Saccharomyces cerevisiae S288C: one gene and its partner. The protein of the gene in region 2 binds, or shares a complex with, the protein of the main gene of each other region. Each region holds a gene or a part of one and is shown on either strand. Other genes may lie near its edges.

Evidence for each region.
Region 1: DNF1 (region 2) and YNR048W share a complex: the UniProt entries of both Saccharomyces cerevisiae proteins name them as parts of the flippase complex.

What each region holds. Positions count from the first base shown.
Region 1 is NC_001146.8:709,958-713,619, forward strand, and holds YNR048W (putative aminophospholipid translocase regulatory protein), read left to right. Parts: upstream 1-1,672; coding exon 1,673-2,854; downstream 2,855-3,662. Other genes in the region: serine/threonine protein kinase FPK1, read left to right, coding at 1-1,247; MSO1 (Mso1p), read right to left, coding at 3,066-3,662. UniProt on the Saccharomyces cerevisiae protein: Accessory component of a P4-ATPase flippase complex which catalyzes the hydrolysis of ATP coupled to the transport of phosphatidylcholine and small amounts of phosphatidylethanolamine from the lumen to the cytosolic leaflet of the trans-Golgi network and ensures the maintenance of asymmetric distribution of phospholipids.
Region 2 is NC_001137.3:510,720-518,234, reverse strand, and holds DNF1 (aminophospholipid-translocating P4-type ATPase DNF1), read right to left. Parts: upstream 5,492-7,515; coding exon 776-5,491; downstream 1-775. Other genes in the region: BCK2 (Bck2p), read right to left, coding at 1-19; PAB1 (polyadenylate-binding protein), read right to left, coding at 6,129-7,515. UniProt on the Saccharomyces cerevisiae protein: Catalytic component of a P4-ATPase flippase complex which catalyzes the hydrolysis of ATP coupled to the transport of glucosylceramide, phosphatidylcholine, phosphatidylethanolamine, and small amounts of phosphatidylserine from the lumenal to the cytosolic leaflet of the cell membrane and ensures the maintenance of asymmetric distribution of phospholipids.

The DNA of each region.
Region 1 (3,662 bases), on a different chromosome or scaffold from region 2:
CTAAATCTTTCAGCAATAAATTTCAAGATATCATGGTGGGACCACAGTCTTTTGAGAAAATAAGATTGCTGGGCCAAGGTGATGTAGGTAAAGTTTTCTTAGTAAGAGAGAAAAAGACGAATAGAGTGTATGCTTTGAAAGTCTTGAGTAAAGACGAAATGATAAAAAGAAATAAAATCAAACGTGTTCTGACAGAACAAGAGATTCTTGCCACCAGCAATCATCCCTTCATCGTCACACTATACCATTCGTTCCAATCTGAAGACTATTTGTATCTCTGTATGGAATACTGTATGGGCGGGGAGTTTTTCAGAGCTTTACAAACAAGGAAAACCAAATGTATATGTGAAGACGATGCCAGGTTTTATGCCAGTGAAGTGACAGCAGCACTAGAATATTTACATCTGTTGGGTTTTATCTATAGAGATTTAAAACCAGAGAATATTTTGCTGCATCAATCAGGCCATATCATGCTTTCTGACTTCGACTTGTCTATTCAGGCTAAAGATTCCAAGGTTCCTGTTGTCAAGGGTTCCGCTCAATCAACCCTTGTTGATACCAAAATATGCTCAGATGGGTTTAGAACCAATTCCTTTGTCGGAACTGAAGAATATATTGCCCCTGAAGTCATAAGAGGTAATGGCCACACCGCTGCGGTCGATTGGTGGACGCTAGGGATTTTGATCTATGAAATGTTATTTGGTTTCACTCCATTCAAAGGCGATAACACAAATGAAACTTTTACGAATATTTTGAAAAATGAGGTCAGTTTTCCCAATAACAATGAAATCTCCAGAACTTGTAAGGATTTGATCAAAAAATTACTGACAAAAAATGAATCTAAAAGACTGGGTTGCAAAATGGGCGCTGCCGACGTGAAGAAACACCCCTTTTTCAAGAAAGTCCAATGGTCTTTGCTGAGAAATCAAGAACCGCCTCTGATACCAGTGTTATCTGAGGATGGATATGATTTTGCTAAATTATCATCTAATAAGAAGAGACAGACTAGTCAAGACAGCCATAAACATCTCGATGAGCAAGAGAAAAATATGTTTGAAGAACGAGTTGAATACGACGATGAAGTCTCTGAAGATGATCCATTCCATGACTTCAATTCAATGAGTTTGATGGAACAGGATAACAATTCAATGATTTATGGTAATACCAATTCTTATGGGAAAATTGCATACACTCCAAACTCCAACAGATCGAGGAGTAATAGTCATCGAACCTTTTTTAAGAGATAAAGGGGGCTTTGACGTATAAGTGTCGGTATTTTTTTTTTTTTTATTGATTTTTTTTTCACTCTTATTTTTTCCCTCATTTATTCATCATACATTTAACGAACTCTATTTCTTTTCAAAATCCTTATCTACCTATTTTTTTTTCTTTATTTTCTTTCCTCTGTCAGTTAGTCAGTAGTGTGTAACTTAAATAAATCATATATCGGTGTTTCAATTTCTAGCATTCTGTGTAAACATCAGATGAAGCATTGCCTTTCTTTTCAATGAACTCTATGTAGTTTTTTCGATTTGCTTGCGTACTATTTTTCACGCGATAGTTGAAGAAACGATAGAAGGATGGCGCAATATACAAGTTAAAAGCAAATAGATATCTAATCAATAGTTAACATCTAGAATAAAGTGCTGGAACTTAGATTTTTTTGTGCAATATGGGACTGATATTAAGGTGGAAAGAGAAAAAACAGTTGTCTAGTAAGCAAAATGCTCAAAAATCCAGGAAACCGGCAAACACATCGTTTAGACAACAGCGCCTCAAAGCCTGGCAGCCCATCTTGTCGCCACAGAGCGTACTGCCGTTGCTTATTTTGATGGCATGCGTCTTCGCACCCATTGGTATAGGGCTGGTGGTCAGCACGATAAGTGTCCAAAGACTAGTGGTAAACTACACAGAATGTGATGCATTGGCACCGGCGAAGCATTTTGAAACGATTCCCTCCGAGTACGTGGACTACCACTTCAGTAAGAAAGTCGCAGTCCAACCTCAATGGATGGTACTTACGGATCCTGAATTAGGCAATCAAACTTGTCGAATACAGTTCGAAGTTCCAAATCATATCAAGAAATCTACTTATGTTTATTACCGCCTAACAAATTTCAATCAAAACTATAGAGAATATGTGCAATCTCTTGACCTAGACCAATTAAAAGGAAAAGCATTGATCGGAAATGATCTGGATCCAAACTGTGACCCTTTAAGGACGGTAGAAAATAAGACCATATTCCCCTGTGGATTGATAGCAAATTCGATGTTCAATGATACATTCGGCACAACACTTACTGGTGTAAACGATACTGCAGATTATTTGCTTACCACAAAAGGTATTGCGTGGGACACCGACAGCCACAGATATGGAAAGACCGAATACAATGCATCCGATATCGTACCGCCCCCAAATTGGGCCAAGTTATTTCCCAATGGCTACACTGACGATAACATTCCAGACCTACAAAACTGGGAACAGTTCAAAATATGGATGAGAACTGCTGCATTGCCCAACTTCTATAAGCTAGCAATGAAAAATGAGACCAATGGGTTAGGTAAGGGTATTTACATTGCTGATATAGAACTCAACTACCCAGTAAGATCTTTCTATGGAACAAAATCTTTTGTATTAACCACAAACAGTATTATCGGTGCTGGAAACGAGGCATTAGGGATTGTTTATTTGATTGTTGCCGGGATTGCAACTCTTTTCGCCATACTATTCCTGATAAAAGTCATCTTCAAACCAAGACCTATGCATGATCATAGCTACCTAAATTTTGAGAACAGCGATACCCCATTCGATGAGAGTAGTGTCGTTAGTATTCCATTGAGAGAAATTTTATGATTGATTATCATTTACTATAAAATCCCTGCGTTTGATTCGGTCTCTAGGGAAGCGTTGTAATTTCATGTATATTCAAAATAAGGACGAGGTTATATACCATACTATATTATCTCCTTGCATTCTGTATCAAACACTTTATTCAGTACATATACGATACCTATATATTCATTAAATGTTCTTTTCGCTTTATTTCAGCAAGGTATAGTGCTATTTAAAATCCATAATCGTTATTGCGTCTCTTTAGTCTGTCCTTCATTGCCATTACTCCACTACTTGCGTCTGGTGGCGGCGTTGGCGTGCTGGAGGTGTTGAAACTGTTCGACGTTTTACTTCGACCGAGACTTGCCCTGAATTCTTGGCCTGCTGAAGGTCTAGTCGGCCGTGATGAAGCTCTTCTCGGTGTCGCGCTAGAGGAGCTTGTATGATTATTGTATATATCTTGAAACGATTTACTCGCAGGCGTGTACTCCGGTGTGTTCCCGTTTGAAGAAGGTGTACCCATAGGATCTTCTGAAGAAGCCTTCCTTCTGTTAGAAAAGGATGGCGAGAAATGACGCGAGTTTTGCTTCTTCATATCATGCTTCACTTGAGTATCTAATATTTTACGTTCGTTCGGTAAATCTTCCTTCTCCCCCAACCATCCTGGGAACCCCTGGAAAGGATGCTGATTTTCATAGAATTTCACAAGCCCTTTATGGACCAATGTAGTATTTACAGTATCACCATCTTTTTCTGCTTTAATGGATAAATGTGCCAACGATGTAGATAACGATTTGGTTGACGACTTAAACTTGTTCCAAAATCGCCC
Region 2 (7,515 bases):
GGTGACTATTCTTCGGCATGTGCTATTGGTTTTGAGCGATAAATCAAGACTGCCTTGCTTCTTGTCTTAGATCTCCTTCTGAGCTTTCTTAAAAGACTTCCCTAAATGGCTGATCTGATTGTTTCCTTTATTAACAACAAATCCACTGAAAAAAAAGTCAATAATTTGATGGATATTAGCGAATGTTAACCGGAAATAGGAGTGAAAGACGTGTATTACAAAACTATGACTATGCCTGATTAATATCCTGAATAACTAGGCATGAACCTTTTTTCACGCAAATAATAACAATAGGCCTAGGATTTCTATGATATAATAAACTTTCTGTTAGTATAAAAAACTATTTTTGATAAATATAGTCTCTCACCTAGTCAAAAACATACGTATCACGGCTTGATTAATTCTTAACTCTACTTTACAACATTTCAAAAATTCCTTTGATCATGACCTTAATCAATTTTTTTGCCAGTTAGTGGAGAGTTCCCAGCGCTGGAAAGTGCTGGCGTCAGTTTTCCATCGGAAGAAAAAATTAGCCCACCATTGTGCGTCCTTGAATAATAGCGATCCGGGTTAACCGGGAGTGTTAATTATAGAACAAAGAAACCCACACGTCCGCTACTAAAACTTGCTAAAAGAAAGAGTTAACGCTGTAGTATGCATGAATTCCAAGGCTTCTAAGGCTTCTAAGGCTTCTAAGGCTTATCCAGTAATATTATGTAATATTATATATACAGTGAAAAGCGGAGTTCCATCAGCTATGGTTCGGATATCATTATTAATTGTTCTGTTGTGTTCCGATTAAGGAGGCTGCGTTAGTTACGCCTGGTAGATCTAGAGATGTTCTCGCTCTTTCCACAGAGTAGCGGTTATCTAGTTGGTTAGTGGCGATCATCTGTTCTCTTGTGCGGTCCAAGGATGACCTGACGTTGGTTGATGGGCCTCTTCCGAACGTTTGGGCCTGCTGAAATTGGGGCGATTGAAGAAGATCTTGTGTTTCCTTGGGTGAAGTCATCCAGGTTTCTTGCTTCTGATATCCGCTAGGACTTCCATCTTCACCGTGCATGAAAGTCATTGGAATCTCCTCTGTGACAACACTATCCCTTGAATAGTTCGATCCTCCTAAGTTGTCGGAAAGTGCTATGCCTTCTATAATCTTCTCTCCGTGTTGCCCAGCTTTTGTGACCTTGGGTCTGTTGGGATCTGTTGGATCGTAACCAGGAGGATAATGATCGAAATGGCCATGTTGCCACATCTCTCTTACTATTTCCACATCAGTTGGGTAGAAAAATTTTTGAAAACTGTCATATGTGAAACGGGGCAGTAAGCAGAACAGCACGGCAACAAAGAAAACAGCCCAAAATGAAGGTGCTCCATAGATACGCGCTGCAGCTTTGAAAAATTCTCTACTAGCTATCGCAGAAGACCATATTCCCGTCCATGCAAAAACTACGAGGCAAGACAGTGCAATGAATAATCCACTAAACCAATCCCATCTATATTGGTGTAATAAAACATATGTGTTACACGAAATTACAGCAATAGTGGTCACATAAACACCGACAAAATAACGATGATCCAATCCTAACCCATTGCTCGTAACTATCATATTTTTGTGATAAACCAAGTAAGGGAAAAAAAAACAGATAATAGACTGATATAATCCGTCCAACATATACCATAAGAACTTTCTTTGGTTCCATTCTTTCCTTAAAATTCCAACACGGTATAACTGAGGGACCACTAATGATATTGTGTCATTCACGTCCTGGTCCAGAATACCTAAGAAGATGACTGGTAGGGATGTAAATGCCAAATTATAGAACATCATGTATGTGTATTCATACAGGTAAGACCCATCAAAATCATTATAGATACCATACCAGAACAATGCCAAAGCAAAAATCATGTTTTTGTAAAAAAACTCAGGAATCATTTCTGCCAGTCTCTTATAAGACCACCTACCGTGAACGAGGACCAATCTAGCCAAATATCTGAATTGTCCAATGGCGTAGTCTGAGCACATAACAGCTTGTCGACCTTCTTCACCGGCAATACCAATACCAACATCCGCAGATTGAATCATGGCGACGTCGTTGGAACCATCGCCGATGGCTAGTGTCATGACATCTAGAGAATCCTTGACTAACTTAACAACGGCTGCTTTTTGAGATGGAGATACTCTACAGCATAAGACAGCTCTACAATTCTTGCAGAGTAAAAGAAACTTTCTTCTTATATCTTCACCATATAGCGCCAATTTCAAAGCATCACCATCGATAACGATGGCGTAATTACCCTTCGGAAATTCGTGATCCTTTTTAGCTTCAAAAATCTCTTCTTCTGAACCGGTTAAGTTGAAATACTCCTTCAAGTATTTGGAGAGTAAAGCATCCACAATTTCACTTGGTTCTGATCCGAATTCTTTCACGTCATCACCAGTTGTTTTAATAACTAACAATTCCATTTCATTATTCAAAAGGTTGCAAGAAAATCCAATGTTTATAGCTGTTTCAACTTTATCACCCGTAAGAACCCATAATTTAATTCCTGCCTCTGCAAGCAACTCTATACAATCCGGAACACCATCTTGTAAACGATCTTCGATAGCTGTACCGCCCAATAATATCAATTCGCGTTCAATGGAATCTGCAACAACTTCTAATTCATCCTCTCTGTTTGCTAATGATGCAGCAGCAATATCGTACTTTTCGTTCCATTTTTCGTATTCAGACCAACTTAACTCCCTTTGAGCTATGCATAACGTTCTTAAACCTTCAGTAGCGTACTGCTCTAAATGCAAAGCAGTTTTTTCCAAAATAGCTTCACTATTGCTACCACTCTGGCGACTTAATCTTGAGTATATAATGGAATCTGCACCTTTACAAATTAAAAGTGCTCTAGGCTCGTCCCCTGGGTTCAGACCCGGAATTTTGACAATACAGGACATTCTTTTTCTCGATGAATTAAACTCCAAAATATTTAGAATCTCAAATTCTTTTTGAATACCTTGCATTTCAATTATCAACCCTTTTTTGGTTTTTCCAACAAAACTGAATCCTACATCTCTAGCTGTGGCTACTAACGCTGCTTCGTCTGGAGATTGAGCTTTTAAATCCAGTTTTTTTGGATTGTCCGGGTTTGCTTCTACAAGGACGGAGTGACATAAAGCTAATGCTAACATAAAGTGCTCACAGCATCTTTGTTGTACTTCACCACTAGCCCCTTTCAAATCGCGAACGAACTCCTTTGATACAAAGGTAACTTCTTCGGGATAAAATTGTGAATTTCCTGATAAAGCTCTCAGTTCATCGATCATTGTATCCCTATCCTTGGCAATTTCGGCCTTCTCACGCCTACCTTCGGTTTCGACGTCGATACCTTGTCTTTTTCTTAATCCCGCTAACGCTTCGGTGTAAGCTCTTCCATATGAAACACCATTGATAGTACATTTTTTAAACTCCATTACATTTTGAGTTAATGTACCTGTTTTATCAGAAAATATATATTCCACTTGACCTAAATCGTCAGAAATATTCCAGGATTTTGGTGTACAAGGATAATCCAATTTGGCATTGTAGAGTAAAACGTCTCCGTAAATGAAGGCCGCTTGTGCAGTTTTGATGATCTCCACAGAAATGTACAAAGAGATTGGGACTAAAGATTGGTAAAGAATAACAGCAACCCAAAATGAGACGAAACCGTTTGTCGCCGCTGACCCAGCAATTGTTCCAAATTCATAGGAAAACCGTGATCTGCCTTTTTTGTCGTAATATACACCATTTGCAATACCAGAAACAAAACATAAGATGAAAAGTAGCACGAAATTTATCACCACAGAGAAGTTTAGTTCTCTTGAAATCCTGGACTTCTTGGTGGGTGTAATGCCAGAGTTTAACATGATTTTTGTGTCACCACCGGTAAACATTACAACACCCATTGCCCACTTAGTATTTCTAAGAGTGCAACCACGAAGCAGAACGTTATTAATAGTAATTGGCTCATTTCGTATCTCGCCATCTGCAAGATTTCTCCATTTCATATTACCTTGATAAGTGTACAAATTTGAGTGGGGCCCTTCACTTTCGATCCAGAATTTTGTTCTAGCAATATCTTTTGACGTTCTTATAGTATTGGTACACTTCAAGGATTGGCGTACCTTTAAGTTTGTTTCACCATCCAAATTTTTAGTTTCTACGTAGCAGGCACCATCTGTATCCGACGTTGAAAGTAAGATAATGTCAGCAGGGATTTCATCATTGTTATGGATACGAACAATATCACCAACCTTGACACCTTTCCAATAATTCTTGGCAAATTTACAATCAGTTCTGGGTGGTAGGGATCTATCAACTATATTGGCTTCACCGGCCCCTTGTTCCAAATTATCATAATCCAATGAAGGACGGCCATAATCTGCAGATACTCTGTAACTGTCAATGGAGTCTAGAGAGGATCTGGGTCCACTCGTTCCAACAGTTTTTTGTACTCTTAGTTCATGACGCTTTCTCTGCATTCTCTTCTTTTTGCCCTCTTCAGTTAAATGTTCTTTACAATATTGTATAAACTTGAAAAGGAGTCTAGAGTTTGCTTTCTTAAACCTTCTCCACAATGAAATATTATCGGTTGAGACATTTTCGTTCTCAACACCTTCTAAAATATGTGTCTTGGTATTATTCACCTCTAAATCTAGGACGGTTCTTCTTGAGTCTTCAATAGCATCCTTGATCGCAGTGATTATAACAATGACAACTAACGGAACCGCACTTAAACCAGGGTTCGTGACACCAAAAATTTGAAATGCACCTAAAATTATTAAAACTAAGAAATAAACGTTGGCGAAATTATGAAACTGAAATAGAATGTTTTTTGGTAAGAATGTTAACGGGGTATATTTGGTAGTTCTGATTTTATTACGAGGATACTGCATAATGGGGTTGCCTTCTTCATCTATCATATCTTTTGGTAAGGGCATATTGTAATACACAGTCCTTAGTTCTTGCGCACGATTTATGGCACCAGGGTCAATATCATCCTTCGTAAAGTCTTCAAATGGGTTTGGAATGTTCTTCCTAGCCCATTTCAAGGTCTTAGATCTTCCCATTATTGGGTTTCCTTTTTTATTCCTTTTTGTACCCATCCGGAATCTTTTCATACCATCGTAGTTAGTGTGCGGTTCACCACTATCATTGTCTAATTCCACATCATCAAACGTCCCAGATCCATTATTAAGTTTCGGTGTTGGCTGAAAGGAATGATTGTCATATTCTGTGTCATCGTTAAATGTGAATTCTTCTGCATCTTCACGTTTATTTTTGGGTGTTTCATCATTGAAGCTGACCTGTGGCCGGCTGTATTTGTTGCTTGTTGCACCATCATCAAAATGGGTAGGTGCAATATGTGTATCTTCATTACTGCTATTATCTTCAAATTGAAATGTATCTTCAAAGGGCGACATGGGAGCATGCCCATCGCCATGAAAAGTTCCAGACATAATTATCAACTAACTTTCCTTTTTAAAGTTAACTGCGTTTTTATTTCACTTCCAGGAGGAAATAAAGGATTTCTGTTACGGTTGCTTTCCCTTGCTCAACCTCCGGTTAATTTTTGAGTGTTTTTAATTGCGACCCTAAAAATCCACTTAAAACTGTCTGAGTTGCGTATTACGATGACCTTCGGTTATTAAAGGTCAAATTTCATAAAGTAAAAGCTAAGTGAGACTTTGCTCTGTGAAATTTTATCAGCTTTGTACCTCCAGTTAGTTGAATGCGGTGATGAATAGCAAGGTACCCTCACTTGATTTGTCAATTTTTTGTAAATTAGTATTTTCCTGGAACCTGTTGGTCTTTTTTCCGTGCTATTTTGTTTATTTTCCGCGAAAACTAACATTCTGCCGTTAATAATGAGACCTCAAAAAAACGCAACTAATAAACTCAGTAATGAAGTCTAATAATAGTAAAATGATACTTCTCTTGACAGTTAAAAACAAAAAACGTTTGCATTTTGTCAATAAGAGCGAGTATTTAGGTTACAAAGGATAATAACTAGTATTTAAGACAAAAAAAAAAGGGAAGGGAGAAAAAAAAGATGATAAGTTTGTTGAGTAGGGAAGTAGGTGATTACATAGAGCATTAAGCTTGCTCAGTTTGTTGTTCTTGCTCCTTTTTGAAAGACTCATAGGCAGCAGAAGCTTCTTTGTAGTGTTGTTCGAACAATTCATCACTTTCCAACAATGGGAAGACCTCTTGAGGTGGCAAATCCAAAATCATACCAGTAATTTTACCAGCTGCTTCTTCATTTGAAGTCTTAGCAGAAACCTTCTTGTATAATTGTTCACCCAAAGCTTGTCTTTGCTTTTGTTGATAAAATTGGTTGTTATCGTTGGCATTTCTTGGGAAACCACCTTGTGGGGGGACGCCGTAAACCGGACCATTTCTAAATTGAGGTGGCATGCCGTTCTTTGGCATACCGCCCATTGGGTTCATTTGTTGTGGGTTTGGACCGTTGAATGGAACACCTCTTGGTGGCATAACACCATAGAACATTGGAGGCATGAATTGACCTGGCATACCGGCAGCGGCGGCGGCAGCGGCAGCAGTAGCTTGCTGGTATCTCATTTGATTTCTGGCTTGGATTTGTTGAGCCAATTGAGAACGTCTTACGTCTTTTCTTTGAGCAATGGCAACGTATAATGGCTTACCAGCAACAATTTGTTGGTTCTTTTCTGTAATGGCCTTAGTAGCTTCCTCTGGAGTTGAGAAACAAACAAAACCAAAACCCTTAGACTTACCGTTTTCGGTTCTCATAACCTTTGCAGAAGTGATAGTACCATATGGAGCAAATTCTTCTTCCAACTTTTCGTCATCAACGCTGTCATCTAAGTTCTTAACAAACAAATTAACACCTTGGTACTTGGCCATTTTTTCCAATCTGTAAGCTTCGTATTGCTTCTTCAAGACATGCATACGTTCATTCTTCTTTTGGGCACGACCAACGTATAACTTTTCTCCATTTAGTTCAGAGTCATTCAAAGCTTCAACAGCTTTCACAGCGTCTTCATGCTTTTCGTAGTTAACAAACCCGAAACCCTTCAATTTTCCATCAGCATCCTTTTCCAAAGAGGCAGAAACAATTGGACCAAATTTGGCAAACAATTCTTGGAATTGTTCGTCAGTAGTTTCGGAGTTGATGTTTTTCACATAAAGGTTAGTGTAATGTGCCTTAGTCTCTTCCAATTGAGAGTCACGTTCCTTTCTGGACAAGTGAGGAGCAACATAAATTTCTTGACCGTTCAACAGCATACCATTCAAAGCATCAATAGCTTCCTTGGCAGCACCTTCTTCTTCGAAGTGAACAAACCCAAAACCCTTGGATTTTCCGTTTTCGTCGGTGGCAATCTTGCTGGACAAGATGTCACCAAACACAGAGAAAGTGTCATACAAAGCCTTGTTGTCAATATCAGGGTGCAAGTTCTTGATAAAGATGTTACCAGAACCCTTCTTTCTCAATGATGGGTCA